Linked DNA regions of Saccharomyces cerevisiae S288C. The gene in region 1 interacts genetically with each later gene. Each region holds a gene or a part of one and is shown on either strand. Other genes may lie near its edges.

Region 1 (4,689 bases):
ACTAAACAAAATACTACCATCCCTTAAATTTAGAATATTAACAACAGGGCACACTATCGAAAGGCAATACCAGTCATGGCTTGGCGGTAGTATACTTACAAGTCTGGGAACATTTCACCAACTGTGGGTTGGGAAAAAGGAATACGAAGAGGTGGGCGTCGAAAGATTGCTTAACGATAGGTTTAGATAGGAATAGAAAACGTTGTTGAATGACAAGTCGCCTTTCAGTTTAGCAGTTTGAGCGACCATTCATCTACTCGATCAATATCTCAGTGATAAATAAATTGTCTTGATTCTACTATAACCCTTTTGTAAAATAAAAAAAATTTCTACGATGGACCGGTTTTGTTTCCTAGGGAGTAATGAACTTGGCCTATAACTAAGAAGGAGGTTCAAAAATTTAAATATGTTCATTTTTAAAATCATAACACTATATATATCGACACCGTAGAACTAACTACTCGGGAAACCCATTGCGTAAAAATATAAAAAAACTATGAAACGTCACGAAAAAATGATGGTTGTAATAACTGCTAGCAAGGGAAGGTAAGTAGTCGAAAGAAAAAAAAAAATGCATACTTCTAAAATGTTGGGGCGGAAGAAGCAAAAGGTTAAGCAAGCGCGTTTTCAACTCTATCAAGGGCGGCTTTGATCTTCATACCGATACGCGTACTCAATTCGTAATCGGCGGCATAATTTTGGGCTCTTAGCAGCCATTCCCTACATTCATTCAAACTTTCCATGCCACCCAGTTTCCAACAGAATAAAGCTCTCTCATAAAGAGCGGCTGGATATGCCCATGGGTCTTCGGTTTTTTTGAAATATTTGACTTTGCCATTTTGAATGTAGAATATTTTTGGCAGAACAATGTCATCTAACAAGGCTAAACCTCTTTCAGCATCCCCCAATCTTCTTAAGGTCAAGGATAGTAGTAAGTTTCTGATCAGCTCTTGATCTGGGTCTTCCGAATCAATGGCGGGGTTGTGATACTCTGTCAACATCTTTTTGGTCAAAATTAAATCGTTTTCAGTCATCCTGTTGTAACCGTTGTAGAAATAAGCCAGTTCATGGACAGGTGATGTTGCTATTGAGTCTAGTGGTTCTTGTAGGTTTAATTTCTTCTGCATATTATTAAATTGTTGAACTTTTCTAAGCATGAATCTATCCAATGGAAGATTTTTGGATTTGAACGTTTTCTTACCTAACAAAGATGGAGCGTCAAATATGAGTTCTCGAGCCCGCTCTTTATAGAATTGTTCTTTACCGTCATTTAATAAGCCTAATTGTGTCATCCTCCAATTTTCCAAGTAACAGCAACCCGCAAAATAAGTGTACAATGCGTGAGACCAATCACTAATATCAAGCAAACTTATTAAATCATCGGCAGCTCTGTTGTATTCGTGTAAGTTGACTAAAAGGATCGCACGTTCAAACACCATCAACGATTTCACTTGTCTCATACGGATACTATTGACATCAATAGAGTCCATTAGGGCCAGAGAATCACGAAGCCTGCCCTTTCCAGCAAGCATTTTGGCCTCATTTAGCAGCCACAGGGCACTATTAGGAAAAAGTGCTCTTGCTTTTAGTAATGCGTCCTCCAGAATTTTTCCAGGATGCAATAAGGTTGCACTGTCCATATAACCTGGTAAAAGGCTACTATCGTTTGTTCTGCTTTTGTTTAAAGCCCTCGATCCATTATCGTTTGGTGGTATATCAAAGTCAGCATCTGTAAATTGGAAAGGACCGTCGTAATAAAACATCAGACCTAACAAACCTATACACCCGTGAACATTTCTCTCCTTTGTAGCCTTCCAAACTAGCCTCAAACCTTCTTCACGGGATCCCTTGAATCCAACAATAGATAGCACAGCACCGATTGCAGGTGGAAGTAAGGATAAGACGACTTGCAAGATACCATAGCATAAATTAGCACCTGAATGGATGAATTCGTCGATGGTAGCCTGTTCTAAATCGAAATCATCTGAAACAGAATGGCGGTCGGAAGCTTGAGACGGAGTCGTCTGTAAACCCAAATCATCCCTTAACCTATGAAAAGATGGAGTATTGCCAATATGGGCACCTGATAACCTTCCCATTCTCATCGTGTAGATTTTTTCAGCAAATTCCAATAGGAGTGGATTGGACTTGTCCTCGGAAGACAATTTGTATGGTATATCAACCGATATGAAAGTTGTCTCTGCAGAAACAAAACTTCCGCATGACTCTTGGCTCTTTTCGCTTGGAGAGGGAGAGCTCGAATTTTTCGATCGTTCAGCTTTTTTGACAGTAACCATGATATCTTGTAACATTGTATAAGCCCTCCTTAACTTTAGCAAAGCCTTGGCTGCTTCCATCATGCTTTCACTAAATAACATCAACAAGGCATGCAACAGACATGACTCAGTATATGTTACAGCATAGACAGTACCGGGAGGATATATTGAACTGCTCCTAAAATTGGTCTTTTCAGCATTTTGCTTACTTTTCCAGGACATTTGCTCAGCTTTGCCTAAAGTAATTGCAGCTCTTTTCATTTCTTCAGTTTCAAAACTCAAAGTGGCTTGAAGAAATTCAATAACACCTCTTGCCAAAGTCAAGATAGTTTGATCTGAACCAGTTTCCATTTCAGCTTTTTTCAGCAAATTCAACCCTTCATCCGTTCTATCATCAAGGACAAAATCCATTGCCTTTAAGGCGATCTCAAAGTCATTAGCCTGCTTCAGAACCTGTTTTGTCTTTGTTGATTGCTCTTCACCAGAAGATTGATTACCCTTTGATCCAAATGAACCAAATACTCTAAACATCTTCTACTATCTTTCGTTTTGGCGCACTGTTTGCCCTTCCTCCTATTATGTTCTATTTCTTTCTATCAGGTAATTCCTATACCGGTAACAAGACGCTTATATATACAATTCGCTATATATACTGATAGAAATATGCAAAAGGAAGAATGAGTGAAAAGAGCATTGGAAAATAAATTTAGTAATACAAAGGTGGGGAGAATATGAATTAAATAATCCGAGGGACGAAATTAGAAAATAGCCCAAGATAGGGGGTGGGGGTACCGCTGGAAAGACAAAGACTATAAGCATGAAATGAAAAACGACCATTATGCTCGAGAGATCTGGAGACAAATAAAGCAAAAGGTCCGACGAACAAAATCCGCGGAACGGAAAAACTTCTAAAAGTGAAGGAAAATTGAGAAAAAAAAAAAAAAAGATAATATTTTCATTTCTTTCATTCGTCCTTTCGTTGTATACATAAGGGTCATTGTTAACTCATCGTCATTCATTATTAACACAGGAAGAGAACTTCTGCAAATAATGCCAGGCATCATATTCTGACATTTCTGAGATCGCGTTTGATGTTTTTCAATTCCTGTCGGACTGAAAGCTTTGATGGCTTATCTAGAGGGTTATTAGCGTTGTGATAGTGATCGGAAGTGGCAGGCTTCACGTTAATTGTACCGAGAACATAGCCGTCAACGCTATTCCAAACTCTCTGGTCCAGCTCATTCGTTAGCTTTCGGCCATAGAGACATTGATCAACCAGCCACATGCCCACTATAAACGATTTTCTGTCTAAGGTACCGTCTTTTCTTGTGTCGACCATATTGTATATTTGCACTAGAAGATCCCTGGGTAGGTTTGATCGATACCATATATCTTTTACGACTAAGTTAAGCATCAGGCCGTCTTGCGGTAAATTTAAGGGCTGTAAGTGAGACTCGTCGTCTTCATTCGCGAGAGAGGGCCACCACGGCAGCAAGCGCAAATACGAGTATCTGTTTGATACCCACATAGACTCGTATCTTTTTCTTTCTTGTTCGGTAATAAACCCGAGATCTCTATGAGATTTCCACGGTTTATCTTCATTGAATTTGTGAGAACTTGTATGATGGTGCGTGTGTAAGTGATGAGAATTCGGGTTATGGAGCTGATGGTGATGATGATGGTGATGAGGGAACGGAAGGACAGAGGTACTACTCCCAACTACAGCTGCTGTTGTTTTCAACCCCTTCTTTATCTTAGAGCGACGACTTTTCTTCTTCTTGTCCTTGATTTCCATCACATTAGAATCTTCATCTGTGTCTGAGTCTGATGATACAGACTTTCTGTCGTAGGGAAAAGTTTCATCATTGTCTGTAATTGCGTACTTCCCGCGCCTCATAGTTGTCTTTAACTTTACATTTTGCTGCGTGTTTATGATTGCCCTACCATTCTGCGTTTGGTCCGAATACACACGTGATAAGTTTTCTTGCTGCTGCTCAGGTGATCGTAAAAGCCTGTGCTTGAACCTGGGTTTACTTGTCTTCCTTTGGCTTCGCGGTATTAGGTCGGGTAAAGTGCCTTTATATATTATATTTCCTCCATTGAGTTTATTCATTGCCGTATAGTCTGACTCTTGCTGCCGCTGTGAGGGGTCCGTTAGAGAAGCCTTTGCTGAGGCTTTGGACGCAAGACTATAAGAAGACATGGAAGGTTCAGGAGGAAATGCCTCATCGGTGCTTTTTTCTCTATAAGAAGTTTCTTCTCCATCGGAACTTATGGAACACGATGATGACAGCGAGGTAGAGTAGGATACTTGTGGCGAAATAGATCGTGAACGAACATTATTATCATATGACGGCGGAGGTATCCTCATTCTGTTCAATTGCAGCTCATTTTTCAAGGCTGAAGGAGCACG
Region 2 (3,004 bases), 190 kb from region 1:
AACCCTATCCACCAGCCAAAACCACAATAGCGAAGACAATGATGACGCTAGCCATCGGCTGAAGCGTGCGGCCAGGACCATTATTCCCTGGGAGGAACTAAGACCCGACACTCTGGAATCTGAGCTGTGAAACGGGCGTCCTGCTTTTTCATTCTACACAGGCATATGTAACAGCAGTGTATAGGCTATGTAAATCGGCCCAATCAACAAACAAGCGTTGCTTATTGGACTTGCTACTACCCCAACAAAGGAGAGAGCCTTTGATTGCATCCTCGGAAGAGACGGCATAAACACCGAGCCTCATCCTACAATGAAAAACCACGCCAGTTGGATATAAACCAGAAAAGGGTTTCAATTCAGTATCCACCATGAGCAAGACAAGATAAGACAAGATTGCATAAAAATGAGTGCTTCCAAAATGGCCATGTCCAACCTAGAGAAAATATTGGAACTGGTTCCTCTTTCGCCTACCAGTTTTGTCACAAAGTATCTGCCTGCCGCGCCCGTAGGGTCTAAGGGCACTTTTGGTGGAACGCTGGTATCACAATCGCTGCTGGCGTCATTGCATACTGTGCCATTGAACTTCTTCCCCACATCGCTACATTCGTATTTCATCAAGGGTGGTGATCCGCGGACCAAGATCACGTACCATGTGCAGAATCTGAGAAACGGTAGAAATTTCATCCATAAGCAGGTTAGTGCTTATCAGCACGACAAGTTGATATTTACGTCGATGATCTTATTTGCCGTGCAACGGTCCAAGGAGCACGACTCCTTGCAGCACTGGGAGACGATTCCAGGCCTGCAAGGTAAGCAGCCAGACCCTCATCGTTATGAAGAGGCCACTTCGCTTTTCCAGAAAGAAGTTCTGGACCCACAGAAATTGAGCAGGTATGCCTCATTGTCCGACAGGTTCCAAGACGCAACCTCGATGAGCAAGTATGTGGATGCGTTTCAATACGGAGTCATGGAGTACCAATTCCCCAAGGACATGTTCTACTCGGCAAGACACACCGACGAGCTGGATTATTTCGTCAAAGTGAGACCTCCCATCACTACCGTGGAGCACGCGGGCGACGAGTCTTCTTTACACAAGCATCATCCGTACAGGATCCCGAAGAGCATTACTCCTGAGAACGACGCTCGCTACAACTACGTGGCCTTTGCGTATCTGTCCGATTCCTACCTCCTACTCACGATCCCGTACTTCCACAACCTGCCTTTGTACTGCCACAGTTTCAGTGTCTCGCTCGACCACACGATTTACTTTCACCAGTTGCCTCATGTGAACAATTGGATCTATCTTAAGATTTCGAATCCCAGGTCCCACTGGGACAAGCACCTCGTACAGGGCAAGTATTTCGACACACAGTCGGGACGCATCATGGCAAGCGTCTCTCAGGAGGGCTACGTTGTCTACGGGTCAGAACGAGACATTCGAGCCAAGTTCTGAGGACAATTCCCTCCCACGTATAAACACATACATATATATTCTTATATTATATAATAATATCCTATTTATTATTACATCACCTTTCACGAGCGGGTATCATACCTTTTTCCCTTCGATCTAAGTAGAAAAAGGACCTGAATGATCATTGTGGTACTTATTCCCACGCATAACCGACTACGGCACCACAACGACGCACCAATGCCATCTGACGTAGCATCGAGGACCGGGCTGCCAACCCCGTGGACCGTCAGGTATAGTAAGTCCAAGAAAAGAGAGTATTTTTTCAATCCAGAGACGAAGCACTCGCAATGGGAGGAGCCTGAGGGCACCAACAAGGACCAGCTACACAAGCACTTAAGAGACCATCCAGTGCGTGTAAGATGCCTGCACATTCTCATCAAGCACAAGGATTCAAGAAGACCCGCATCGCATAGATCCGAGAACATTACGATATCCAAGCAAGACGCTACGGACGAACTGAAAACCTTAATCACGAGGTTGGATGACGACTCTAAGACGAACTCCTTCGAGGCCCTGGCTAAAGAGAGATCAGATTGCTCTTCATACAAGCGAGGCGGCGACCTCGGCTGGTTCGGGAGAGGCGAGATGCAGCCTAGCTTTGAAGACGCTGCCTTCCAGCTCAAGGTCGGCGAGGTAAGCGATATCGTTGAATCAGGAAGCGGTGTTCATGTGATCAAGCGGGTAGGTTAGGTTGGCATTTGCTTCTCCACCTCACCTTTTTATGTTCTTATTCCCTCTTGTATCCATTCCGTCCTCGCTGAACCCATGAAAAGAAAAAAAATTAACTAGTCACATAGTTAAATGGCGCTGTTCTTCGCTGCGAGCGGAACCGGGCCTGAAAAAAAATTTTCTCTTTTCCTCTCCAGATGACTCAGTAATATAGTAGTATATTATATAATGTAACAAAAGAAGAGACTGAAGTTTTATTATGCATTGTAGCGCCTGTAATCTTTAGTAACGGATTCTTGTATTTTTTTGTAAACAGCCAAGAAAAAAGTAGAGATGGGCTTGTTAACGAAAGTTGCTACATCTAGACAATTCTCTACAACGAGATGCGTTGCAAAGAAGCTCAACAAGTACTCGTATATCATCACTGAACCTAAGGGCCAAGGTGCGTCCCAGGCCATGCTTTATGCCACCGGTTTCAAGAAGGAAGATTTCAAGAAGCCTCAAGTCGGGGTTGGTTCCTGTTGGTGGTCCGGTAACCCATGTAACATGCATCTATTGGACTTGAATAACAGATGTTCTCAATCCATTGAAAAAGCGGGTTTGAAAGCTATGCAGTTCAACACCATCGGTGTTTCAGACGGTATCTCTATGGGTACTAAAGGTATGAGATACTCGTTACAAAGTAGAGAAATCATTGCAGACTCCTTTGAAACCATCATGATGGCACAACACTACGATGCTAACATCGCCATCCCATCATGTGACAAAAACATGCCCGGTGTCATGATGGCCATGGGTAGACATAACAGACCTTCCATCATGGTATATGGTGGTACTATCTTGCCCGGTCATCCAACATGT
Region 3 (3,897 bases), on another chromosome or scaffold:
TTATCCAGCACTCTAGCTCAATACAAGTTACGTTCTCCAAGAATACTCGAGTGCATCTACACATCGTCTTTTATATATAAAAAGGACCGGTGGAACCGATATGTTGTTGGGTATACGAATATGATAACAAAAAAGGGCCAGATAACCCCAAGTTCCAACTTTGCTATCAGATTGAATATCAAAATTTTTTGACTGAGACTGACGGTACGGTTTCTCCTCTTTCCCCTAAGCATAGTAGCTAAAACTACCGAAAAAGCTATACCAATCGGAGTGAATTGCGAGGAGCATGACTAGATGTCACGAATGTTTTGGAGAAGACATGATAATGAGTTCACTTACTGTCACCGCCTGGGAAGCTTCCTCTGGTCCCTGTGCGGAAATGCATCACCGCCTAGCGACTCCCGCCGCAATCAGTGCCGTGCCATCTAGCGACGCCGTACGGCCACTCTACACTGCCAGCGACGTCGCTATCGGTATTGGTTGCCGTTAAGTGAAAAAAAAACAAACATCGCTATCTCAACAGAGTTCCACTGGGAAACAATAGACGCACTTTTATGCACCCTGGTGCCTTCAAAAAAGAAGTTTGACTAAGAGGGCTGAGGCTTAAGCTTTTTAACCGTAGTAGTTCAACTATATAAGATAACGATTTCGAAAAATAGGAAAGATACAACCATTCTTTATCGTACCTATAAGGATGTGAGTCCTTCTTATCAGGGGGAGTTACGTAAAAATGATTCCCCACTTTTTGTCTTCTAGAAACAAACCAGCCCCGCTGTCAAGATAAGCTTAATTTTGAATTGCTTTTTTTTTTCTTATCTTAGGTAAATAGTATACAAGCACTTACATAATTGATAAGAGAGCTCATGAAAAATGGATACCAACCTGGTGAAAAGCATATAATAGCCTTAGGAAATCATTTTGATCACATTTACCCGCTCTTTTGTCGCCTAAGTCGGTCTCCTTCAGAACTGTGTCAATCTTTTCCTTGACGACATCGTGCATAGAACCCTTTGTATCATCCACCATTTCGTTGTTCATCGCCAAAAATGTCTTATAATTCTTCTCCAGAATGTCCATCACGGTGGTCGATTTGAAGCCAGCTGAAATCGTTCTGTTTTTCCTCACAAAGACGATTCTCAACAAACCATCCCATTCGTTGTAATCCACTTGCGGTCTTGGATTTTTAATCTCTAGTCTAACAACGCTGGATTCCACTTGTGGTGGCGGTCTGAAGTTATTCTTACCCACTTTCATGATGTGTGTAACATTAGCCCACATTTGTACATTGGCGGATAATCTACAGTATAATGAGTCACCTGGTCTTGCCAGTAATCTTAAAGCAAACTCTCTTTGAAACATAAGAATAGATACTCTTGGTGGTCTTGGTTGGTTAATTAATTTGAAAACCAGAGGCGATGAGATCTGGTAAGGAGTGTTACTAATACAGATATCAAAGTATGGTAATTCAGTCTTCATAAAATCTCCAAGCATGATTTCTAACTTTTTCTCCACAGGTGTGCCACGTACCCTCTTAGTTAATTCTGCAGCCATTCTGGGATCCATTTCTACTGCCACTACGTTTTTTGCTTGTTCGAGGATCCTTACAGTTAGGTTACCTGTACCAGGACCAACCTCCAAAACAACATCTGAGGGTCTAATCTGTGCCTTATCAACAATACCTTGCGCCACCAAAGGATTTTTCAAAATATGCTGACCTAGATCTGTGTTGAATTTAAATACTGAACTCAAATGTTTCTCGGCAGAGACTTGTTTGGACGAAGTTGCTCCGGAGTACTTCTTTTTCGCAGCCTTTCCCATGGTATAATTTTATTTTTATTTGTATCGATATAAAAGGTACGACGTCTAAAGCTTCTAACCGAATGAGTCCACTGTATAATGCACTGTTCCTAATTTATCGATCTTATGTTATAACCAAATATTTTCAATTTTCAGCTCATCGCGATTTTCAAAAATTTTTCTACCCTCTAACCCGGGTAATACACAAGGATGGATTTATTATTATTATTGATTCTTATTATTATTACTACTCTGTTAGTAATTTACACACGAGGTGAGGAATACGTGAATGAATTAAATTGGTATCGTTAATTAATTATTAGACGCTAACTGTGTACATTATTTACTCATCTTCATAGACGTGGAAGGACAGTTTTCTCACTACTTTTTTTTCACTGACGTCATCGGTAGAACGGGATATCTTTGTCTCTGGGTTCTGTCCTTGGTGTTTACTAGTGAAGAAAATAGATATCTTCGAATTTCTTGGCGGCGTTATAAAACTGGGTAGGCTGATTTTTTTATCACCCAGTGGCAACGTCAGTGGTATAGTCTCATCGGTGAGAGGATCCTGTATGTAACCTTTGAATTCGTCAACACTTAAGTCCTTCAATGCAATTCTTCCTCCTTCCCTTAAAAATGCTCTTTCATAAGGGCAAATTTTAGCGGGTGAAAGGTTTTCTTTTACTTGGGAAGGATTATTCTCATTGCTCACAGAATTGTTATTATTGTATATTTCATTATGTCTGTGGACAGCTATGTTTCTTTCTTCAGCCGTTTCCTCATACAGCATAAATTGTGCAGCTTTAGAAATTTGGATTGTCTTTATTGGACTTCGCCTTAGTGCATAGTCTGTGTCTATTTGTGACCTTCTCTTTGATGGTGAACGAAGTTCATTGCCTTTTACCACTGCTCGTGGTTTTTGGTTTATATTCTTGCTTGATAAAATGGTTCTCTTTTTTGATGGTGATATCATCTTTCAGTGTCTCTTACTTTATTTCTTCCAAAGGATCCTAATTCAGTAATGCTTAATATGTTCTCCTTTCTTTTTACTTTATATAGTATGATAACAAAAGCACAAAACTTCAGAAAGAAGACGCGTCAACGCGCTACGCGAAATATGCATCAACTTTCTGCTGAAGAGAAGGCAATCAGCGAAAAACAGAAGTTGTTATTGTGTATTGTCGTGGTACTTCGTCGTCCCATTTGATATATCCATTCTAGGTAATCATGTTGGTATATGCAAGTAGGTATATGTACGTATTTATGAATATGTGTATTTGGCCGGAAAAAGATCGCCTATAAAATTTGTGTATGAATAAATAAAGTGCAAAATATGTATTGTTCCCCCTCCATGTTAAACAACGGAATGTGACGATATCCCATCCTCAAATAGTTCAGCTTAAGGCAAACAGATGCAATCTGGGTCTCTTCAGAGATAACCATGAATTTTATAAATGTGAGGTCTGTATCTTTCAATGTGATAGAAACTTCAGCATCCCATATTGGGTTGAATCCATTCCCTTGAGAACTCTTAGTGGATGCTTCAGTGGCAGAAATCCTTGTACCCTTATCGATTGAGATGGGCATTGTCGGCTCGTCATCGGTATGAAACTCCACTTTAACAAAGGAATTGGTGTTATTTCTGCTTGGCGATGTATCATTCAATCTGGGCAATAACTGTGTAGATAAAATTCGAATTTTAACAGTAACAGGATCACTACCATTTTCAAAATGTTCGTAAATTAATGGAATCATTTTCGCCTTTGTTACTACAGGTAGCAACTTTTTTGGTTTTAGCACGTATCCTGATTTAAAACTTCCATCAGGTTGGTGATCTAATATTTGAAACATTGCCAGATTAAGTTGCTGTCCAATATCATTAGTTTGCCAATTCGTAGCCACCATTTGTACACCGGCCTTCCAAAAAGGTATTGGGTTAAAATTTGATGATTTGTATCGTAAAACGTGAGGATAGACTCTCATCAAATATCTTCTATTATGTTTATCCAACGATAATTTTAAGTGTTTGTCTTTTATCATGTATTCTACTTTGCGCTCATTCAGTGAAAAACAATGCGCTATCGTTTTGGACTCTGGTAA
Region 4 (3,731 bases), on another chromosome or scaffold:
TCCATCGATTCCCAAGGACTTCTCTTTATTGGACATTGCTTGCCTGTGACTTTTATAGGCGGCTTATAATATAGCACAAGGTCGGGCAAGTAACAAAATACAGCACTTCCTCCATTCTTATCAGGGTAGTAAGAGACTGAATCCCGAATCTCTTTTTCATTAATAACAATTTTGTTTTCTTCGATTTTCATGTTCTTGGTGGAAGAAAAAGTTTCCAACCAAGAATTGAGTTTATGTAATAATGATTCTGGGACAGGTGGCAATAAGGTAACACCCTCTCTTTTTTTCAATTCCATTTTATGATTTGCCGTTTCAGTTCTAGAAGTTTTCAAAGCAGAGTTTCGTTTGAATATTTTACCAATGGATTTTGAAAATCGTTTACCAGCACTAAATTCATGCTTGGATCCCGAATGTTGGAACAGGTGCTTAACACTCACAATTTCGGGATATTTATTAGGACCATCATTAGTACATGCCATTTCCTCTTTCCTCGCCACCAGATTTTAAGGCAGTTGATGTTTGCTTCCAAGGGAGAAAAGGAACTTATAACGGTTAAAATTAATAGAGCCTGAAGAGAATGAAGGCAGCCAAGACATTGATTAACATCCTACAATTGTAGAGCAGTCAAACGAGTTAATACCACAAATGTCAGTAATTAGTGGAACTTGTGCAAGTATCACCCGGCCAGCTTGCCAAGGCGGAAAAGTAAGTCAAAAGGCACACCTCAGCGTTTGAGTACCTGAAAAACGATGAATCGCAAATAAAACTTTAAATTATGCCTGTTATACATAAAGCCATTTATATATTTATGTATTTTATGAAAAAGATCATGAGAAAATCGCAGAACGTAATCATATCTTTTCAATGACAATAGAGGAAGCACCACCACCACCATTACAAATGGCGGCAACACCGATCTTACCTCCTTCTTGCTGTAAGATGGATAGCAGTGTAACAACCACTCTAGCACCAGAACAACCCAATGGGTGACCTAGAGCAACAGCACCACCATATACATTAACCTTAGATGGGTCTAGCTTCAAAATCTTAGTGTTCACCAAACCGACAACCGAAAAGGCTTCATTGAATTCAAAGTAATCAACAGAATTGATGTCTTCGATGCCAGCATGTTTCAAAGCCTTTGGAACTGCAAGAGATGGAGCCCATGTAAAATCAGCTGGTTGATGAGCGGCCTCACCCCAACCTTTGATAATAGCCAAAGGCTTCAAATTCTTTTCCTTCAAAACTTTTTCGGAAACCAAGATGACGGCTGCAGCACCATCGTTGATTGGAGAAGCGTTAGCGGCAGTAACAGTACCGTTTTCTTTTTGGAAAACAGTCCTTGCAGATCTCAATTTTTCAACGTGTAATCTAGCAGGTTCCTCGTCCTTCGTGACTTGAGTATCAGGCTTACCTCTAAATCCCTTAATGGTAACAGGTACAATTTCATTGTCGAATTTACCTTCCTTTTGAGATTTTTGAGATTTTTGGTAGGATTCGATGGCAAAATTGTCTTGTTGTTCTCTAGTAATATCCCAATCACGGGCACACTTTTCTGCGTGTACACCCATGGCTAGACCATCGTACGCATCGTTCAACCCATCTCTTTCGACACCATCAACAAGAACAGTTTGGCCAAATTTGGCACCCGCACGGGCTGCTGGCATGTAGTATGGTGCGTTAGTCATAGATTCACAACCACCAGCTACGACAACATCAGCATTACCACATTTGATGGATTGAGCACCCAAAATGATTGCCTTCATAGCGGATGCACAGACCTTGTTAACTGTGCTTGCAACGATATGATTACTCAAACCGGCAGCCAAAGCAACTTGTCTGGCCGGAGCTTGGCCCAAATTGGCAGAAAGAACGTTACCAAAAATAATTTCGTCAAAATCCTTGGATGCATCCAATTCTGGAACCTTAGCCAAGGCGCCTTTTAAAGCAACAGCACCCAATTCCACTGCTGTCTTGGAGGATAGAGAACCCTGGAATGAACCAATTGGGGTTCTGGCAGTCGATACAATGTAAACGTTCTGAGACATTTTGAGTACGTCTAATCTGTATAAATATATATGATATGGCGCTTGTTTTAGGCTACCTTTTTTCAGAGAACTAGAAAACGAGTAGGCTTAGCAGTGCTCTTAATGGAAGCGCTTGTTCCTCTTTTATATATTTTACTGCCCTTTGCTCAACGGTGGCCTATCAACCTGGCCACGAACGTGTGGTGGGCTAGTAGTACCGTACTCTCCAGCGAAAAAACCGGCTTGGGCGGTAAACGACAGGCACCTCGTTATAAGTGACGTGCCTGTTAGGAAACGATAAACCCGGCAGGGCACAACAATGGCATCATACCAGAAATGTATCATGTTAAGGCTTTCAAGCAGTGTAGCTGTTTCTATTTACAGGATATATCGTAGATTATGTACGCAATCTTCTTCTCGAAGATGAGAGGTGACCTCTTGTAGAACCAAAGGGCTTATGTGCGTAAGGATTCTTCTTTAATCGATCAAGTTTCTCGAAAATAATCATCTCACAGAAATACTTCAAATCTTTAGCAGATTCCATGTCAATGAAGTAGTTTGGGTACCTGTTGCTGAGCCAGAAGTATAGAGTAATGATGTTGTACAATGACTCATAAACCTCTAATGAATAACTCTCATTCGGTATGCAATTGTAGTCCAGTAGGTTAAAAGGTAATCGGTATGACAGTAGGCCTCTTGTATGCCTTTTTGCTATTGTTTCGCAAAATTTGGTGAACGCCTTTGTGACCATAGGCATGTCCTTCACGGGCGCATTGCTTAGTTTCAGCTTGTCGAAAAATGGGATATCTTCCATGTGCTCGAATAAGCCAATAACTTTCAGTTTGCTCTTTAAATCAGATAACGTGAACAGGTTGTCAGAACTTTTCTCTAGCTCATCTGAAATAGTCTGCAGCAGGACACTGGTCGGCGTTCCTGGTGGGAATTGTGTCATTAGTTGAGCACATATTTCATCTGTAGGCCATGTAACCGCAGTTTTTAAATACTCCACAGGTGCTTCAATAGCTTTTCTTACACTTTTCAAAACTTTTGATTCGAAACTGGTGATAAAACCCTGAGGAACACCCCCGGAGGCAGATCTAGATTTGAACCTTCCCGCACGACCACCTATTTGTTTGATTTGAGAAGAAGTCATTTCCATTAGTTCTTCACCATTATATTTCATATTTGTCGTGAATACAACTCTGTCAATAGACAGGTTTAAACCCATACCAATAGCGTCTGATGCTACCATTATGTCATACTCTCCATTGTTGAATAGGGCGGCTTGTTGAACACGTGTTTCAGGCGGCAAAGAGCCATAAATTACAGCAACTTTCAAATTGGTGTCTTTCTCTATCTTTAGCTTGAGATCCAATATTTTCTTCTTTGAAAACGCAACGACGCAATCTCCTTTGCGCAAACCTTTGATGCCATCTTTGATAGGTTTTTCTTCAACACTTAACTTTCCTAACCTCTCATATTCATTAATCGTTAATTTATCGCCAGTCATTTTAACAATGCTCTTAACCAAAGGTAGAACACTCTTTTCACCACAAAGATGGACCTCCTTGGAAACGACACCTAAAAGCGCGTTCGTCCAAGCCCAGCCACGATCCCCATCAGACATCATTTGAATTTCATCAAGAACAACAACGTCAAATTTTTGATTTATTGGCACCATTTCTACTGTGCCTGATGTCAGCC

What was found.
Region 2: mutations in IML2 (region 1) and ESS1 impair growth when combined (synthetic growth defect), as found in Saccharomyces cerevisiae (2 studies listed by BioGRID, with this or other methods).
Region 3: mutations in IML2 (region 1) and DIM1 together harm fitness more than expected from each alone (negative genetic interaction), as found in Saccharomyces cerevisiae (2 studies listed by BioGRID).
Region 4: mutations in IML2 (region 1) and ERG10 together harm fitness more than expected from each alone (negative genetic interaction), as found in Saccharomyces cerevisiae (2 studies listed by BioGRID).

What each region holds. Positions count from the first base shown.
Region 1 is NC_001142.9:279,303-283,991, reverse strand, and holds IML2 (Iml2p), read right to left. Parts: upstream 2,808-4,689; coding exon 612-2,807; downstream 1-611. Other genes in the region: ARP4 (Arp4p), read left to right, coding at 1-190; TAX4 (Tax4p), read right to left, coding at 3,337-4,689. UniProt on the Saccharomyces cerevisiae protein: Inclusion body (IB) resident protein that interacts strongly with lipid droplet (LD) proteins.
Region 2 is NC_001142.9:465,681-468,684, reverse strand, and holds ESS1 (peptidylprolyl isomerase ESS1), read left to right. Parts: upstream 1-1,651; coding exon 1,652-2,164; downstream 2,165-3,004. Other genes in the region: REC107 (Rec107p), read left to right, coding at 1-130; TES1 (palmitoyl-CoA hydrolase), read left to right, coding at 404-1,453; dihydroxy-acid dehydratase ILV3, read left to right, coding at 2,477-3,004. UniProt on the Saccharomyces cerevisiae protein: Essential PPIase specific for phosphoserine and phosphothreonine N-terminal to the proline residue.
Region 3 is NC_001148.4:37,042-40,938, reverse strand, and holds DIM1 (putative dimethyladenosine transferase), read right to left. Parts: upstream 1,819-3,897; coding exon 862-1,818; downstream 1-861. Other genes in the region: ACM1 (Acm1p), read right to left, coding at 2,141-2,770; PLC1 (phosphatidylinositol phospholipase C), read right to left, coding at 3,094-3,897. UniProt on the Saccharomyces cerevisiae protein: Specifically dimethylates two adjacent adenosines in the loop of a conserved hairpin near the 3'-end of 18S rRNA in the 40S particle.
Region 4 is NC_001148.4:496,413-500,143, reverse strand, and holds ERG10 (acetyl-CoA C-acetyltransferase), read right to left. Parts: upstream 2,049-3,731; coding exon 852-2,048; downstream 1-851. Other genes in the region: SMA1 (Sma1p), read right to left, coding at 1-479; ATP-dependent RNA helicase SUV3, read right to left, coding at 2,425-3,731. UniProt on the Saccharomyces cerevisiae protein: Acetyl-CoA acetyltransferase; part of the first module of ergosterol biosynthesis pathway that includes the early steps of the pathway, conserved across all eukaryotes, and which results in the formation of mevalonate from acetyl-coenzyme A (acetyl-CoA).